Caenorhabditis elegans: one gene and its partner. The protein of the gene in region 1 interacts with the protein of each later gene in a biochemical or structural test. Each region holds a gene or a part of one and is shown in the gene's direction. Other genes may lie near its edges.

Region 1 (10,641 bases):
ATATATATATATAAAAAATATGTTAGAAACACTGAGAAGCTCACGGTGCATCGAAAAAACCTTCAAAACGACGAAAATTCAGAAGAATAACTCATGGTGCATCGACAAATTTTCTGCATTTGCAGAAAATCCCACAAAAATGAAGAACATCGAGAACAAAACTCATGGTGCATCGACTAACAAATTTTTCGGTCAAAAAAATCTGATAAAATATGATGGCAACAGACTTCCTAGAAACACCTGAATTTCGCCCGTAAAAAAATGAGTGCGCCTTTAAGAGCTACAGTAACCCACTAAATCCACTAAATCATTAAACTGAAAGTTCCTTGATGTCGAAAGAGGAACAAAATTTGACAAAAAAAAATTTATTGTCAGAGAAAAGTAATAAAAGTGAAATTGTGTGGGGAAATAAATACGGACGGGGAGTTTGAAAAATGAATGGGACTATACGAGGTCATAAATAATACAATTGTGGGGAACGTTGAGAGGAGTTGAGAGGCGGTCGGGGGCTCAGAAGAACTTCAATCGCGTGGCTTGTCCACAGTGACGACCGCTTCCGGCGCTGCTTGTTCCGATGTCCACTCCTTCTTCTTCTTCTTAATCAAGGACGGTGGGAGCGACGTATTTTCCGGGGTGCCTGGCATTGGCGATTGCTTCTGAAAATTTGAAATTTTAGATAAAAAGATCATGAGATTTAAGCTAACCGGAGTCTGGAGCTTCTCCTTGGTTGCCTTTTCGGTGACTGGAAGCATCTGAGCTTGTTGGAGCAGTGGGACCAAGTTCGTCAAATCAGTGGACACCTTCGGGGCTTTGCGCTTCGACGATTCAGCCGCCATTGATCTTCCCTTAATCTGAAAACAAAAATCGTTGTGAGACCCAGCGTGTGCCTTTAGACTTACATGAGATCCCGGTGTGAGGAGAGCGTCGGTTTTCGGCGTTTCCTTGGTGGGTTCTGGCAGCACTGTCTTCTGTTGTGGCTCCAATTTCACAGAGAACACGTCCATCTTCATGTGCACCGGCGACGTCAATTCAAGCTTCAGCTCAAGACGGGCATCGCTGAAGATCTCCTTCGCCAAGGTCTCCGATGAGCAAACGAACGGCGGTCCATCATCAAGATATCCGTGCAGGAAAACCTTCTGCTCGGTCATTTTCTCCACATGATGTTGCACGAGCTCCAAAGCGTACCGCGCCTTTTCCTCTGTCGTCACCAGCGGCGCAGGGAGATCCAAATCATTGATGAGCGAAATGAGCTCCTTTCCACGTCCCCAATTGTCGGCGATCACTTGCAAGTGACAGCTCATTGCTTCTTCCTTTTGAGCGGTCTTGGTCCGACTCTCGTATGGTCCGTTGGTCGAGCCTGCTCCGAGGGCTGGTGTGATGGGCGGGGCCACCGCGGATCGTCGTTTCTCCATCACTTTTGTGACGTTTCCATTGGGAGTCTTGCTCTCTGCTACCACATACTGAAATTTAAAACTGCGTTTTTTCAATTCTCTTTCAATGCTAATAATTCCGTTTTTACGTCGTGGCCGCGAAATGCGAAAACTCGGCCACCTTCAAAGATCTTGGCCGAGCTCTCGCTTTTTCTAGGCCACGTTGCAAAAAAATCGATAATAAAACGTACCGGATTCGCGGCAATTCCATAAGCCAACCGCTCTCGGCGTTCCTTCTCCTCATCCTCGTGCTGCTGATCGTCTTGTTCTTCTCGCTTCCTAGCCGCCATCTGCTCAGCGATGAGCTCCTCAAAATATTTCTTCTGCTCCTGAAAAGAAGGTTTCGTATGTTGAAAGTTGTCCACGTGTAGTACGCAATTCGCTTTTCATTAAATATAACTTAAATCAATAAAAAGCTAGGCCACTGGCAAAATTTCACTTACCCTCGCCTTCTGATCCTCGAGGTAGAAATACAAAAAAATGTGGAAAATGACGAAGGCGATCAGGATGCCATATCCGATGTACTTCGGCGTGTCCTTGTGAACATTGATCGTGTATGCACATGACGGGCAGTGTGTGCCGTTTCCATTTTTGCAGGTTTGAGGGCTCGCCGAGCTCACAAGAGCAAGCTGCGTCGTATTGGCGGCAGGAGCGGTCACGTTTACATTTTTCGTCGGATTGCCGGCAGGAGCGGTCGCATTAGGACTTTTTGCCGAATTGCCGGCAGGAGCGGTCACGTTTGAAGTGTTCGTAGCGGCGGAAACAGGCACATTTGGTGTGGTGGTTGTTGGCTGAAAAATGGTGAAACATTATGGTCTAGAAAAATCGAAGGATGTCTAGGCAACTCACCAATACATGAACTATTAATCCGAAGATTACCAATGAAAACAAAATACGCAAAATACGCATTTTTGAGTGACGCGTGTGTCGGAGAGAAACCGATTTCACAAACTAATTTAAGTTATAATTTGTTTATTTCAATCGCTACGTGTGCCGTGTGCCACGTGGCCACGCGTGAGTAGGGGCGGGGCCTATTTCGCAACCACCGCACACTTTTTTCGCAAGCCTCGCACGTTTTTCCATGATATTGTTGCATTTTTCAAAAGAAAAAACGTGCGAGGCTTGCGAAAAAAGTGTGCGGTGGCTGCGAATAGGTCCCGCCCCTGCATCCTGTTTTGGGTTCCTTTTTGTTTGTTTTTTTTTCGCGGATGGTTAATTTTGTTTTCGAAGAATTTCTCGTAAAAAGTTCCTTTACAATTAGTCAAATTTTATTCACTCAATAAACAAGGTTTTTCTTCAAAAAATACAAGGTTTCGCGATGCGCCTATCATTTTATCATTTCTTGAGTAAAACAGTCTTTACGCTCGTTGCTCCAAAAAATGTATGTTTCTTAAGGGTTTCCATTAATTTTTTAGAAGTCATTTGAAAATGCTAAAAAGTTGGTTTACGTCATTTTAAGTATGTGCTTCTCTTAAGATAATGATGTAATATGGATTATATTCCAATTTAAATCATTCAAATTGATTTTTTTCATTTAAGAATTCCATTCAATTTCTACATTCTTCGTTGCGTCTTCTAACCTTTGCAAGCATTTTCCATTTTCGCTTGTTTTCGCAGTCCGTATGTTTCCGTTGCGGTGTTTGCGTATTGGTGAAAACAAATTTTCCCGGTCGTTTGAATGTAGTCGGACGAGCCCTTATTTTAAGCTACGCACTTCTAAAACCACTTATTTTAATTGATAATTTCTTTGTCTCACTTCTTTAAATGTTATTTATTAGCTGCGATGTGCAAAGGTTTATTTTTTTTCAGAATGGATAATGAAAATTCGTCCATTTTCAAATCATATCAAGGATACGAGTGTTGGAGGGGAGAAAAGCAAATTATTTTGAAGGATTCAATTGGTATTTCATATTTCTATCGATTCAACATTATTCTATTCATTCAGGTCGTCAACTTCCCTACATTGTGAATTTTAAAAAGAATACGTGTCAAATATTCGATATCGAATGGGAACGCGTAACTCACTCGTTCGTTTTCCCTGAAGGATGTGCTTTGATCGATGCGGACTATTTTCCAACAGAAGGTAAGTTTTTTATTACTATCATATTTTCTTTATTGATTTCAAAATATTTTATTTACAGAAGGAAAGCTCGGAATTCTTGTTGGTGTTGAAGATCCTCGTCAGTCGTGCGGTGCCGAGCACTTTGTTCTTGCATTGGCAGTTGATCCGGATTCACCAGCCATGACAATCACACACTCACTGGAAGTTCCATCGAAAATTACAGTTGTGAAGACGCTTTTTTCGTCTGCCGACATGGCTGATGAAACACAGAGAACAGTTTTAAAGCTCTATCATCGACTGATGACGTGGCAGCATATTGTGGCAATTGGTAATAAATCAAATTTGAATGAAAACTTTGCAAATTTACATTCCAGGTTGCAAGGAGACACAATGCTACTTAGCTCGTTTAGTTGCTGTTGAGACGCCGTCAAGTCCTGTCATCACAGTTCACAGTGAGAAAAAGTATTTGATCAACCTAATGAGTAAGTTTCCCGAAGATTAAACAAATTTGATTAGTGTGTTTCAGATGCTTACGTCAGCGGTTCAGTTCTTCAGTACACTTTGGACGATGGAGCATATCGTGAATACCCAACCGCCGCCGTGTATATCTCAGCGTTATCGTTGATGCCAAGAAGTCGAACTCTTCTTGTCGGTTTATCGATGGGAGGCATTCTGGCAGCTTCATTGAATCCTTCAAATCAGATGATGCTTTTGGAATTGAGACACGAACGACTTGTCAGAAAAATTGCTCCATTAGAACCAGAAGATGATCCCGACAAATTTGAGTATTTCATCGCCACTGTTGATTGTTCACCTCGTCATCCAATCATGATTCAACTTTGGCGTGGATCTTTCAAAACTCTCGAGGATGTTGATGGAGAAGAAAAGTACGACCGTCCATCATTCAGTGTTTGTCTAGAACATAAGATTTTGTTCGGAGAAAGATGGTTGGCTGTGAATCCTATTGTTACTGAAAGAGATCATATGATGCTCACAAGAAAGCGAGGAACGGAAGATTCGATGCACAATGTTTCTCAGACATTCGGATCAACTTCTAATCGAAACTCTGTTCTTTTGGCATACGAACGAAAGAAGATGGTGATCGGCACAGAAGACCCGAATGCTGAACCAGAATACATTGTGGAAGCAGCTATTTTTGATATAGATTCATGGTACTACAAAAGAGTTCCCGGTCGAGTATCTACAGATGGAACTGTTCTCAAGCAATGTGCATTCTTATCAACTATAAAGTCTAACATCCGATCAGAAGATGTAAATGACATCGGAATTCTTACAAATGAGGCCACTGATGTATCCAGCTTCTCTAGCATGGTTTCAGACGCAGATCAACTGTTTTATCCGTCAGCATTAAGCTTCGAAAGGGTTTTTGTTGCCAAGAATACCAGAATTGACTGGATGAAGATCCAGAACATCCAGGACACGGTAAATTTATCGGCATTGAGATTGTTTTTATTCCGGTTTTTTTTTCAGATTTTGAACAAATGCGCCGTCAAACTGCCTGCTCTCATCAGGAATCCCGAAATGATTTCCAGCGTTGTTATGGCAGCTGGTTTAGTGAGAAAAAATATTCTGTCTGGATCTCCCAATTCGGTGAGCTTATTTTTTAAAGTTAAATTGATGAAATTGTTTTCAGAGCGCCGCAGAAATAAACGAACTTCAATTATCGTCTGATCAAAAGGTTCTTCTCAACGTTATCGTCTACTACGGAAAAATTGAAGAGTTTTGTCAATTGGCATCTCGTCCTGACATTAGTGACACGCTAAAACGGGAATTAGCAGAATGGGCACTTCACGAAGCTGTTGACTACAAGAGAACTATTTCTGACAAGATGGTTTCACTCTTCCAGGGAAGATCACTTGCTCTCTCTCCACTAGCAGAAGAATCTATTGCACAGGGAATCAAGCTTTTCCGAGTTGTTTACGAATATCTGAAAGCCTGTTCAAAAGCGTTAAAAGATGATCGACTTCGCAATTTGGCCCATTCTGTGATATGTATGAGAAACCATACGAAACTTACCAGCCAATTCATCAATTTTGCCATCATTCCTGTAGACCCGATCAGACAGCAAAGAATGAAGGATTTACATTCAAAGAGAAAAAATATGGCGAGAAAGAACTCGTGAGTTTAGAAAAATCCTTTTTAAGAAAAAGTTATACGATTAAATTATTCAGATCATCTCTACCCGTTCAATCAGTCGTTCGAAAAATGAATCGTCAAGCTCCAAATGCTCAATTCTGGAACGATATTCCACATGACGAATGGTATCCGCCAACACCTCTCGATTTGCTGGAATGCCTGCTGAATGTTTCGATTTCTGAGAGTATTAAACGAGAACTCGTTGTCCAATATGTCATTGATTGGATTTCCACATCTCCTGAAGATTCTGAACACAGCGAAAAACAATTGGCACTTGAAACTATCAAAATCATGACAAATCAAATGCTTAACGTTAACTTGGAGAAAATTTATTACATTCTGGACCAAGGAAAGAAGGCTTTAACAAGCAGCAAGACATCGGATGATATGAGAGCACTTGGAGAGAAAGTATTCTCAATGAAAGATGACGAGATTAGTTATGAGAAATTGTGGGGAAAAGATGCTCCGATGACAGTGACAATCGGAAAACACGATTTACAGCGATTTGAACAACGAATGAAAATGCAAATGGAAGGTGGAAAAGTTAGATGTGAGATAGATTTTCAGTCTCATTTCCAATTAATTTTTTTTAATTTCCAGTGCCAGTTCTCGATCCGGAATCTGAGATTCTCTACCAAATGTTTCTCTTTGAAAACGAAAAGTTTGAAGCAATGTCATCAGAAGCGATTAGTTCCAACAAATTGCTATCGGCTTTCCTGCCAGGAATGATCAAGAAGGATGGAAGAGGTCGTCAGAAGACTGCGAAAGAACAGGAAATCGAAATTTCAGTTAAGAAAATGTTTGAGAGAAAGGTGCAAAACGACGACGAAGATATGCCTGAAGTTTTCGCTTCTGTCAATGACAAAACAGAAAGAAAGCGGAAATCAAGTCAGTTTGGTGAAGACGATGAGAGTAGTGTTTCGTCATCACAATATGTGCCACCTGTAAGATTATTGCAGTTAAATAGTACAAACCAAGATTCTGAAATTTACAGACCGCGAAGAGAATTCAACAGTGGAAGAGTGCCGTCGAATCTGTTGCCAACAATTCGAGTATCAACAGTATCACAAGTCCGGATTCTCACCAAAATGCAGAAATCAATATGATGATTGCAACACCGGCACGGTATTACAAGCGACATAATGAGGAGGAAAATGTTCAAGATGGATTTCTATCGCCCGCTGGAAACAGACCGCCGCCAGTCTCTGCTCACAACAGTATTCTGAAAACAGCTAAAGGTGGCCAATCGGCTAGTCGAGGCCGTATCCGATTCCGTGCTGACGTTCCAAGAGGTGCTGACGAGAGTATTGAAGACAATGGTCGGAAAGGCCTTGCATTGAACTTTGCAATTCTTGAAGATGAAGAAGAGGAAACCATGACTATTAGAAAATCACGGTCTATGGGAAAACATGACGAGGAGAAGGATTCAGAGAAAAATGTAGTGGATGAGATGGAAGAAGTAAAAGATCAAGAACAAGAAAACGATGAATGCATTGAAAGTGAGAAAACTTTCGAAAACCAAGACGATTTCGAGGTTCTCGAAGATACATCTGCTCCAGAAGCTGCAAATACAGAAAATGGTTCGGAAACTCCTCCCATGGAAGATACGTTTGAAGTACGAGATGATGACGTCATGCCACCAACCGATGAGACATATTTGAGTCATTTACAAACCGATAAAACGGGTATTCTTGAGGAGGAAGGTGAAGATGAAGATATATGGGATGGAGTTCAAAGATCTTTCGAGGTTCAAATGGATGAGGATTGTGAAGCTGTACCAACGATTGATGTAGCCGATGATTTGGAGAGTAAATCTGAAGAAGTGAATGAAGAAGAGGTAGTTGAATCTGAAGAAGTTCAGCAAGATGCGAAAGAACCTGAAAAAACTGAAAAACGACAGGAAGAGCCAGAACCTGAAGTTATGCAGCCAGTGATTCCGGAAGAGCCTCAAAACGAATCTCTCGAATCGTCTATTAAACTGCAGGAAGAGTTACAGGAAGAGCCTGACATAGTTCCGACAGGTGATGAAGATACCGCGGATAAAGTTCAAGAACAAGCTGTTGAGGAAGATAGACCACCATCTGTAAGATACCATAAAATAAAATTTGAGGAAAAACGGCAATAATTGTATATTTCAGAGAAACACTCGCTCATCATCTGTCCAGAAGTCTACTTCACAAGTGGAAGACCGGGATCCGAAAGAACTTGTCGAGGAAGAAAGACCTCCATCTGTCAGTTTCGTCATCAATTTGACAGACAGAAATAAAATTTATGTTTTCAGAGAAACACTCGTTCTGCGTCTGTTCAAAAATCATCTAACCAAGAGAAAACTTCGGAATCAGGAGAAGTCACGGAAGAAGATAGACCACCATCCGTGAGTTGTTTTTAAAATTTGAAATTTATATGTGTATTTTTCTAGAGAAATACGCGGTCGGCATCTGTTCAAAAATCTTCATCAAAGGTAAAAGACCAGAAGCCAGAGGAACTCATCGAGGAAGATAGACCTCCATCAGTAAGTCTCTCGTGATTTCTTTAAAAATTTAGTTCAATATTTCCAGAGAAATACTCGATCCGCATCAGCCCAGAAGACAGTGGCAGCAAATAAATCTGTTTTGGAGTCTGAAATTCCAAGTCGTTCAGCGTCACGAAGAACTCGCTCCACATCGCTTAGGAATGATACTGTTGCCGAACCAGATGAGACGTCGGTTGCGATGACAACTCGGCGTCGGACTCGGGCAACTTCTGAGGTTGTTAGCAAGCAGTCGTCTGAAGATGATGGAAGATCGACACCAAAAACCGGAAGAACTCCCACGAAAAAGGCTGCAGCTAGTACATCTTCTAGTAGAGCTGGAAGTGTAACTGTACGTTGTTTAATCGTTTAATCATACAACTATTCGAACATTTTCAGCGCGGTAAAAAATCGATCATCCAAAAGATGCCATCCCCGCTAGAGGTTACAATGGAAGTTCAAGAAGAAGAAGAAGAAGAAGCGGAGGAGGAACGGCCTGCATCAAGAAGCACTCGCTCTGCATCTGTCAAAAATACAACTGTTGACCCATCGTCATCTGCACTTGCTTCTACCAAACGTACAACTTCTAGAAAGAGGGGCAATTCGGAAACGATCGACTTTAATCAGGACGACAAATCGGCACCGACGACGCCAAAAAGAGGAAGACCCGCCAAAAAGGATGCAGGATCTCCTAAAGTTGGAAGTAAAGCTGTAAGCATTTTTAATTATTTTTTTGAATTAAAAATGTTGTATTCATAAATTGTAAATTGATTTGTTTTCGTTTCAGCGTGGCACCAAGCCTAAATCGATATTCGAAAATCAAGAAGATGAAGAAGATCGTTCATCCTCTCCAGATATCGAACAACCAGCCACACCTACACGGTCTTCCAAACGAACGGCTAGATCCAGAGCAAATTCCGAATCGATCGATGATGATAGCAAGCAGAAGACCCCAAAAAAGAAAAATGCCGCGGTTAATGAAGCTGGTACCAGTAAACAGTCTAGAAGTGTGACGGTATGATCCCAAAACATAATTTTTTTTCAAAATTATTATTTTCAGAGATCTCGAGCATCATCTATTGATGTACAACAAGAGGTGGAAGAGCCAACCACTCCAAAACGCGGAAGAGGAAGACCGCCCAAAACCGTTCTGGAAAATATTGAAGAGGGTGAAGAAGAGAGAAAAGAAACGGCTGCGGTAATATTTTCAGCAATACGATTTCTCAAACGAGGTGTTTTATTTTCAGACTCCTCTACTGCGTTCAGCTCGCCGTGCTAAACAATAGAGGTCGAACACAGCTCAAATTTTAACTATTTGTCCTTATTTATTTTATTATTTGAAATTCTTCAACTGACACATGTGAAATAAGTTCCAATAAAATTGTTTGGCATTAACATTGAATTGGAAATAAAGCAATAAAGGTGCATAGAACGGAGAGTTCAGGATGGCGTTATAGTTTTTAAATTTCAAGCAACAAATTCGATAATTTAATTTTAACTGGAAAATGTGAACGATTGTTCCTAGCATGCGAAACAGGTGTTTATACCACATTTAAAAAATTTCCAAAACGAAGCTCTGCAGAATTTTTTCTAATTTCTCGTGGTAATGATGAATTATTATTTAATTTTGTTTTTTAATGCACCAATAAAACGTTTTTTCGTGTAGAAAAAAGACGGCATTGTTAAATATATTCTTCACTGCAAAAATCCAATTTTATAAAAACTAATTTAAATCTTTCGAAAGGTTACTGTAACAGTCATTTGCGTGTGCATTTCTACGCAATATGTGGCGCCAAAAGGCTTGTCCTAAAATTCGGCTACCCATTCTAAATAAAATGATTCTTCGCAGTTGTTCTCTGTTAACAGCTTGTTTTTTTTATGTTTTGATGATATTTTCATGTTAAAATAATAATTTTAACGTTGTTCATAGACGTTAGCATGTAAGGACGATCTTGACGTATTGTAAACATCTGTAAAATTAGTTATCCGTGCATCAGACTGGGTCTGAGTCTTTTTTACAATTTACTGTAACATTTTTGTATCTTTTTCACGTTAATACTTGATCAAATTGTAAAATGTTCTCTCAGAAGTGACATTCACTTGGCAAATGACGGAAGCTGACGATCCCAAGAAGAAAATACGCGCGCGCATCGAGCGCGACGTGTACAGTGTTCTGCTATCATTCCAGGAAGGAGCGACCCCAAATCAAGTAGAAAGGAGAATGGAGTTTGTGTTTCGCGGCATTATTTCTCAAATTTAATGTATTAACTATTTAGCGACACGCTTGGCTACACATATGTTGGAAAATATGTACAGGCTGGTGTGAGAGATATGGCTCAACTTCTGCGAGAGCACAAAGATGTACGACAAAATTTATCCGGAGTTTTCAGTGTTGTGTGAGAAATATATATTGCTCTTATTCGAGTCAAAACTCAATACATTCGTTTTCAGCGCAAATGAGGACAATCAAGACCTAATCAATC
Region 2 (7,919 bases), 3.3 Mb from region 1:
TTTGATTCCGAAAAGGATACAAATACCAATTCTAACTTGAGTGGAAACATTCAGAAAAGGTCCGTGCTTTCTGAAACTCAATTATTTCAATAATTTTTCACTTTTAGACAGCCTACTTAAGAAGTGAATCGAGACTCTCTCCAAGAAGGGTCATAACCATATATGAGTACCTCTCCTTCTTCCCACTAGCCACACATTTTGCAACGTGCTTTTTCGAAATGAGCTGGGAGAGAATCTGAATAACAACGACCTGAGACCCTTAACTATAAGCTAAATCTTACCTGGACTTCCATTTTGAGAATGTTACCAGCATCTTGAGACTTGAACTCAACTTTCAGTGCATAGTGTTGACCCTTCTCCGATGTGTCTTCAACTTTGAAGACCGAGCCACAACCACCTTCACCTAGTTTTTGAACGACCTTAAGTACTCTTATAGATCAACTAAATTTTGACATTTTGATTAATGCCAGTTGGCAGGACCAACTCACTTACTAAACCACCATAATCTACGCGCAAATTCCCGCAACTCACCTTGTATCTTTTCCCGACAACCGCTCCAATTTCTAGCGTCTCTTCACCAACGTCTCCCGGCATTTTGCGCTTGAATTGAAAATACTACTTGATACTACAAAACAGATCAAGTGAATTTTGAAAAATGAATCAAATAGCCAAAAATGTGGACACTTTGTACGTGTGGATTTAATTGAAAGTATAAATTTTGGAATGAAAAGTTCAACACGTCGGTCACAAGGACTTTTTATTGTTAAAGTTTTGGTAAATTGCCAAAATTTTCAAAAATGTTCGAGCCTTTAAAATGTTGAAATACAAAAAATTGGAACGCAATTAAAATATTTTTTTTTTTTGCCCGACTTCCAAATGTTATGACAGGAGAACAATGAGTTTTCACCACTTTATGGCTGAAAATAAAAACATTTCAATAATTTTTTTAATAGTTTACTATGCCATTCGGAAATTTTAGCACTATGAAACTGTGAGGTGCCAGTAGTATAAACTTCCAGTAATTTTGGTTGTCAGAAAGCAAAAAGTTAACTTGCCTGCCTTCGTGCCTACCTTAAATGTTTTAAAGCGTCATTCTTTGAAATTTAAAAAATGGTTCATTTTTTGAACTCACGAACTCTAGACTTTTCCTCTATTAAAAATGTTCCCATATTCCTTATAAACGTGCATTTTTTCATCTCTCTTCCGCCTCTCAAACTCTTTCAATTGGCTTCACTTGTTGTCGGGCGGTCTCTTCAAGCTACTCATTGAGCCATTTATACCTTCATCTGTCTGGACTTTCTCTTCTCTGTTTCATTATTTTCTAAATTTCATTTCCTTCTTTCTCTTTTCTGTTAGAGTTCCTTTTTCCTGCTGCATAATTAGTAGGTTGTCCCACTTCAATTTTCGATATCTCGTGACTCGCCGCGGCGCCGAGGCTTTACGTTTTCAATTTGAATATAAATATTCATTTTTGACTCACAGCTAATATATAATTTGATAGAGATTCATTTTTCAAAATACCACATAATTTTAGTTTTTAACCCAATCTTTCAGATTACCTAGATGTAAATATTTACAACAACTTTCAATAGTTGACGTAACACCCTTCACAGACATGTTTATTTGGATAGTTCTTCCATTGTTTCATCGTTTTTTCTATTCAAATTAATCAAAATCCAATATCCTAAACCCTTCGCCTTTTTTCTTAATCGCCGACCCACTGGTGAACAAACATTCAGATTCATCTCTTTTTGGCACATTTCAGAAAATGTTGCAACCCAATTTTCGTCGGTTTGAACCTTCTTACAGCTGGAAGTCTCGGGAAAAATCTACTGAAAATCGGGTTAGTTAAAAACTTTAATTAATTTAACTTTTTTTAATGGTAGATTTGCTATTCAAGAAAATTTACTTTTTTAAGGGATTTCTATCACGGATGTGTGGAATTAAACAGGTATAGTTTGACTCGATCTTTGCAATAAACTAGAAATTTTTTCATTTAGAAAATGAATAAATACAACTGTCGTGGGAAATATCAAGAGACCAATGACCAGAATTTAATGCAAGATTCAGGATATTCACTGAAAATTATAAGCTCTGGTGATGAACAGGTTTTTAAATTGAAAATAATCACATTCCTCATAATATTTTAATTAAATCATAAATTTTTAGATTACAATTGTATATACAAGTCGACTAGGAAAAATGAAAGATCTCCAAGTTCCGGAGATTGAAATTTCAGGAGTTCTTTTGGAAAGATTGGAAGCTTGTAATTATAGGCTTGACGAGCTTTTTATAGACTTGGTAGTTAAAAAATTAATCTGAATTCCGCGTATTTTGATATTTCAGAAAGCAAGCAAATGTATTTGTAGTTCGAATGAGCTTTTGAACATTCCAAAAATCATCGTTAGAAGGCTTTTTCTAAAAATGGAATCTCTGGAAATGTTGGAGTGGTGGATTGAAAGAGTTGATCCGAACTCTCTAAATGAGCTGTGTATTGCTCCTCATGGAGAATATCCACTTGATATTCCGTCCAAGATATTTGATCTTCCACATGTAAGTATGTTTATTTTTGAATATTTTTGGTACAATACATTTTCAGTTCCAAAATTGCAAAACACTGAGTATTATGGAGCACTGTTCTTTCTCAACCGACCAATTTCTAGCATTGTGTATTGCAATTCCAAATTTTTCTTTTTATTCGGACAGAATTGATGAAAATATAGTTGCTCATGCGATAAAGGTATTGAAAATCATCATGGAATGAAGAATTGTTATTTTTCAGAAACGTCTCAGCTTAAATGATCAATTTGTTGTCCTAGAATGGTTTTTCACTAAACACGTGAATGTTGAAAAAGTCACAGGAGATTTGAAGTGTACGAATTATGATAGAAAGTGAGCAGAAAACTGATGTTAGGCAAACTAGAATTAATTTCAGAGAGCGCTTTGATGTCAAAACTGAGTGCTTCGAGCCAGTTGATGTATACAGTGTTCCAGATGAGAATAACAAGAAAACGTCCTTGCTGGTTTTGAAAGATTCAACTGACAATTTCAAACCGTATAACATTGTTGCGTTTTCATAATTTTATGTTTTGAGATGCCGTCTTGGAAATATAGTGTTTTTGAAGCTAAATATCCTATCTCATGTATTAAATAAAATTGTTATAGTATCTCTTTCCATCCATTTTAATCGTCAAAGAAAGGCGTGTAAACCACGAAAACTTACCACTAATCCAAAAAGAGAAGCTGCCTTCTCTCCAAATGACGGTAAGACGTGGAAGACACGTGGTAAAAATGTATTACGTACGCCATAAAATATACGTATTAATCCATTTAAAATTAATTTTTCTTTTATTAACATCTGGCATCGTTTAACACACGTGCAAATGTTCTGTTACAAGCCCAAAAAGGTTCGTTGCTAATTTTTAAAACATTAATGTACAAAATTATTGCAGAAAGTACATTGAATAATAAATTTTTCAATTTTTAAAACCGTTTTTTAAATCAATGTCTCCGTGATATTTATGTTTGACCAGAAAATGTTTGATCGATGACAGCGCGCTGTTTTGTTTAGCACCCTTTTTCATCGGCGCGTAAATCGACACACGGTTCGCTGCGAGACCTGCGCCCGCCAAGCATCAACATTCGAATTTGCCGTCCGCCATTTTCGTCCTAAAATGACTTTTACCGATTCTTTTTCAAGTTTCCAGCTCGCCTCTTGTCATTTTTAGAAATAAAAACGTTTATTCAATTATTAATACTGAATATTTTAATTTTTGTGTTGCATTTCAGATGAATCGACTTCCCAACATTGCAAAACCCCCACAAAAGTCCAACCAAAGAAAGGAGAAGGCTCCACCAGAGGTTCCCGCTCTCATCGCCGACAAGGATCGTGGGACCTATTATGAGAAAGGACGATTTTTGGGCAAGGGAGGATTCGCTCACTGTTATGAGCTTACGAATCGAGCAACACGCGAGGTTGTCGCTGGAAAAGTGGTTCCGAAGTCGATGCTCGTCAAGCAATACCAGAGAGATAAGGTAGACAATGAACGAATCTTAGTTCAGTGCATATTACGATTTTTCAGATGACACAAGAGGTGCAGATTCATCGAGAGCTTGGACACATCAATATCGTGAAGTTATTCAACTTCTTCGAGGACAATCTCAACGTGTATATCACTTTGGAGTTATGTGCAAGACGGTCGCTGATGGAGTTGCACAAAAGAAGAAAGGCGGTCACCGAACCTGAAGCTCGTTATTTCACTCATCAAATTGTGGATGGCGTGCTGTATTTGCATGATCTGAACATCATTCATCGTGATATGAAGCTTGGAAATCTTTTCCTCAATGATGATCTAGTTGTCAAAATTGGAGATTTCGGATTAGCAACAACGGTCAACGGTGATGAGAGAAAGAAAACGTTGTGTGGAACGCCAAACTACATAGCTCCGGAGGTTTTGAACAAAGCTGGACACTCATTTGAAGTTGACATTTGGGCAGTTGGATGCATTCTGTACATTCTTCTTTTCGGACAACCACCATTCGAGTCTAAATCGCTTGAAGAGACATACTCACGCATTCGCCACAACAACTACACCATTCCGTCGATCGCAACACAACCAGCAGCAAGCCTAATCCGCAAGATGCTTGATCCTGAGCCAACACGTCGTCCGACTGCCAAGCAGGTAATTTCAATAGTTTTGAACTGGAGTGAAAATCATTTTAGTATTATCGGAGATTCGAGTTTCATCATTAGAAAATTTGTACTTTTGAATTTTATCGTGAACTTTTATTGAGAGATAGTTCACGTTCAGTTTGATTGCCCTTCGTTCTAATTAGTAAAGAGATCGAAAACAATTTTTAAAAAATCAGTTCGAATATTTAAATAAGTTATGAAATCTCTTCAACTCGGAATGAAAACCCTACAGGTTCAACGCGATGGCTTCTTCAAGTCAGGATTCATGCCGACTAGACTTCCAGTCTCCTGCCTCACTATGGTGCCAAAGTTCGGAGGACACGAAACTTCGATGATGGAGGAAAATGTTGCTCCAAGAGGGGTTGATGCTCGTTCACAACGCCCATTGAACGGAAGAGCTGGATTGTCTGCCCTCCCACAACACATCGTGTCGAACAATGCCGATCGTGAGCGTGCTCAACAACAAGCTGCAGAGGCGACTTTCCGGGAGCCCGAGGATGCATACCTTTCACAACTTTTCCACCAAGTTGCTGTGCTCTTAGAGCAGCGTATTCCAGGGGTAAGAATAAACAAGAGGTTTTTTTTAAATTAAAAGTTTGTTACAGCTGGAAGAAGAAGAAGCTGCTCTTGATGGTTATCAATCACCAGAGTGCCTCCCGGTTTTCTGGATTTCGAAATGGGTTGACTATTCGGACAAGTATGGCATCGGATATCAACTATGTGACAATTCCGTCGGAGTTCTCTTCAATGACAATTCTCGTATCATGCTTGATCAAGCTGGAAACGAGTTGACCTATATTGAGAAGAGCAACAAAGAGCACTACTTCTCGATGCACTCAGGTGAAATGCCTGGATTGCTCAACAAGAAAGTCACATTGCTTAAGTATTTTCGATCCTACATGAATGACCATTTGGTGAAAGCTGGAGAAGGATCTGAACAAAGAGCTGGTGATGACTTGGCTCGTTTACCAACGCTTCGAGTTTGGTTCAGAACCAAATCAGCAATTGTTTTGCACCTTTCCAATGGAACTGTTCAGATAAATTTCTTCAATGTAAGCAAATTCATAATTTAATGGAAACACCCAACAATATAATTTTCAGGATCATGTCAAGATGATGATGTGCCCATTAATGCAAGCAGTTACATTCATCGATCAAAACAAGCGTATGCTCACCTACAAGCTGAACAATCTTCAGCGCAATGGATGTCCAGAGGTTTGAATCGCCATTTCAGTATCAACAAATATAACGTATAATTTACAGAAATTCCTTCACCGACTGAAGTATGCGAAGACAATGATCGAAAGGTTGATGAGCGATGCTAACGTTGTATCCCAGAATCCAGCTCGTCAACCGGATATGCCACGGTCAATGGCAGCTGCTCGTTCAGCTTCGGCAGGATCACGAGGACCAAATCAAGCTGCATCGCACCTTCCCCAGTCGGCAAGTGGATCCAATATTCACCCACGTCGATAGATCCGTATGTGCTCTTTGCCACTTCCATGAATTTGCTTACATCTCCTGATTAATTCCAAGAAGTATTATTCTATACATTTAACCCGTACTCTTCATTTATTGTTGCTGTTTTTCATCGACCCTTTTAGTCCCATGTTTCAGCATCCAACATGTCTTTATTCCCCGTCCTCGATCTCCCGTAGCTCATTTCATTGTAAATACTGATGAGACCCGCTGTAGCCCTTTTTCATTCGTTTGTATTCATGGGCGAGGCGATTTTTATTTTGCGTTTTTATTTCTTTTTGCTAATTGAATCATCTTTTTTTGGTATTAGTCCCACGAAATAAAACGTACCGATGATTATTAAACTGTATTCTTCATTTTTCCAAACTTTCTCGACAATTTCATTTTTGGTAGATAGCAGCACATTGGGAAAAATCAAGTTGAGCTGCTCATCTGCCTCAACTTTCCATTTCAGAATTTTCGAAAAAGCGTGTATAATATTTACTGATTCCGAGACAATTATTTGAACATGATTGTTACAAAGATCACGGTCGCAAAGTAACAAATGTTCTGTTTAATTACTTGCCACTCTGAACAGTTTCCGTCACTTATTTTATATCCAAACAGGTTCGATTCCAAATAGTCTCAAATTATGCCAATGGGATCTGCTTTACTGTAACAGTTGGACATAAACTGTTATATGAAATCAAAAATACAATAGTTTAAATTGTTTTTGCTCTCTGCTTGAATTTTGGATTTCTAGAGATCTAGAGCAGAGCTGAGCAGCCGGCCAAAAAAATCGGCGATCGCCGATGAAATTTTTTTTTCGGCGATCGCCGATCACAAATTGCCAAAAAAAAATCGGCGATCGCCAATTGCCGATTGCCGATCAGTGTGCGTCTAATTTTTTTCAATTTTAAAATCCTAATTTTAAGAGCTCTTTCAAATAATTTTTTATAAAAACAGGAATATTAGGCAACGAAAAGCACTCCTTGATACCTTAAAATTCGAAAAGTAGTGAAAAATAGTCCGAAAATATACCTTCTTCCTTCTTCAGAGGGGTCTATCTTGGACTATAAAATTTCATCGGCAATCGCCGATCGCCGACCCGTTTTTCCCTTTCGGCGATCGGCGATCGCCGATTGCCGCTCACCCCTGATCTAGAGACCATCGATAGCGCATCATCGTCAGACCTGCCTCTTCACCTATGCGTAGGTAGACCTACGACCACCGTTTGATCAACCACAGATGCGTCTCGTCCACAGTAACTCGTTACTTTGTTATATTCTTTTTGATATAATATTTTCCCGTTTCCTCTCGCCCTTGTTTTGTTGGACCCAATGTCTATTTGTTTTGTTGGTCCCATCCCCTATAAAAGGCTTTCTTGGATGTTTTTCCCACGTTCTTATCTTTTTATCCCTGTTCCCTAAGCCCTTTCCCCTTGTCGTTGTTTCTTGTTGTTCCCCTCATAAATTAATTACTTATATAAGACAACTTTTACTAAGCAAACGCAAAGTTTAAAGATTTTTGCGCCAAAAATACAGTACCCGGTCTTGACACGACATTTTTGTTAAATACAAACGGAAGTGCGCCTTTAAAGAGTACTGTAATTTCTAGCCTTAGTTGCTGTGGGATTTTCTTCGATTCTTCGTGGTTTCTCTCACGATTTTTGTTTAAAAAAATCTAAATATGCGTTTTCAGTTGTTTTATTTTAGTTTTGTAATATATAAAATTTTTTAAATGAGAAAGAAAAAAAAAAAAATTTTTA

What was found.
Region 2: the proteins of mel-28 (region 1) and plk-1 interact in a test that uses a peptide from one of them, tested with the Caenorhabditis elegans proteins (one study listed by BioGRID).

The regions. Positions count from the first base shown.
Region 1 is NC_003281.10:4,782,841-4,793,481, forward strand, and holds mel-28 (Protein mel-28), read left to right. Parts: upstream 1-3,239; 5' UTR 3,240-3,240; coding exon 3,241-3,331; intron 3,332-3,375; coding exon 3,376-3,513; intron 3,514-3,571; coding exon 3,572-3,820; intron 3,821-3,866; coding exon 3,867-3,974; intron 3,975-4,018; coding exon 4,019-4,935; intron 4,936-4,983; coding exon 4,984-5,103; intron 5,104-5,146; coding exon 5,147-5,631; intron 5,632-5,684; coding exon 5,685-6,199; intron 6,200-6,249; coding exon 6,250-6,593; intron 6,594-6,643; coding exon 6,644-7,732; intron 7,733-7,787; coding exon 7,788-7,880; intron 7,881-7,930; coding exon 7,931-8,023; intron 8,024-8,068; coding exon 8,069-8,161; intron 8,162-8,207; coding exon 8,208-8,510; intron 8,511-8,557; coding exon 8,558-8,869; intron 8,870-8,945; coding exon 8,946-9,173; intron 9,174-9,218; coding exon 9,219-9,356; intron 9,357-9,405; coding exon 9,406-9,444; 3' UTR 9,445-9,551; downstream 9,552-10,641. Other genes in the region: enu-3.2 (ENhancer of Uncoordination), read right to left, coding at 522-656, 705-851, 900-1,460, 1,622-1,759, 1,874-2,221, 2,280-2,339; mip-1 (HTH OST-type domain-containing protein), read left to right, coding at 10,266-10,384, 10,435-10,554, 10,610-10,641. UniProt on the Caenorhabditis elegans protein: Nuclear envelope protein which has essential roles in assembly of nuclear pore complexes and in chromatin maintenance during the cell cycle. Appears to be a stable structural component of the nuclear envelope during interphase.
Region 2 is NC_003281.10:8,097,559-8,105,477, forward strand, and holds plk-1 (Serine/threonine-protein kinase plk-1), read left to right. Parts: upstream 1-3,789; coding exon 3,790-4,035; intron 4,036-4,082; coding exon 4,083-4,682; intron 4,683-4,925; coding exon 4,926-5,252; intron 5,253-5,298; coding exon 5,299-5,745; intron 5,746-5,794; coding exon 5,795-5,908; intron 5,909-5,956; coding exon 5,957-6,169; 3' UTR 6,170-6,511; downstream 6,512-7,919. Other genes in the region: K06H7.8 (Putative serine/threonine-protein kinase K06H7.1), read right to left, coding at 1-70, 117-235, 282-419, 532-594; K06H7.1 (uncharacterized protein), read left to right, coding at 1,769-1,843, 1,919-1,951, 2,001-2,108, 2,170-2,301, 2,347-2,553, 2,600-2,740, 2,783-2,892, 2,936-3,080. UniProt on the Caenorhabditis elegans protein: Required for oocyte nuclear envelope breakdown before entry of oocyte into spermatheca. In meiotic cells, required for spindle dynamics and probably for spindle attachment to the chromosomes. Zygotic role in the development of the germline and nerve cord.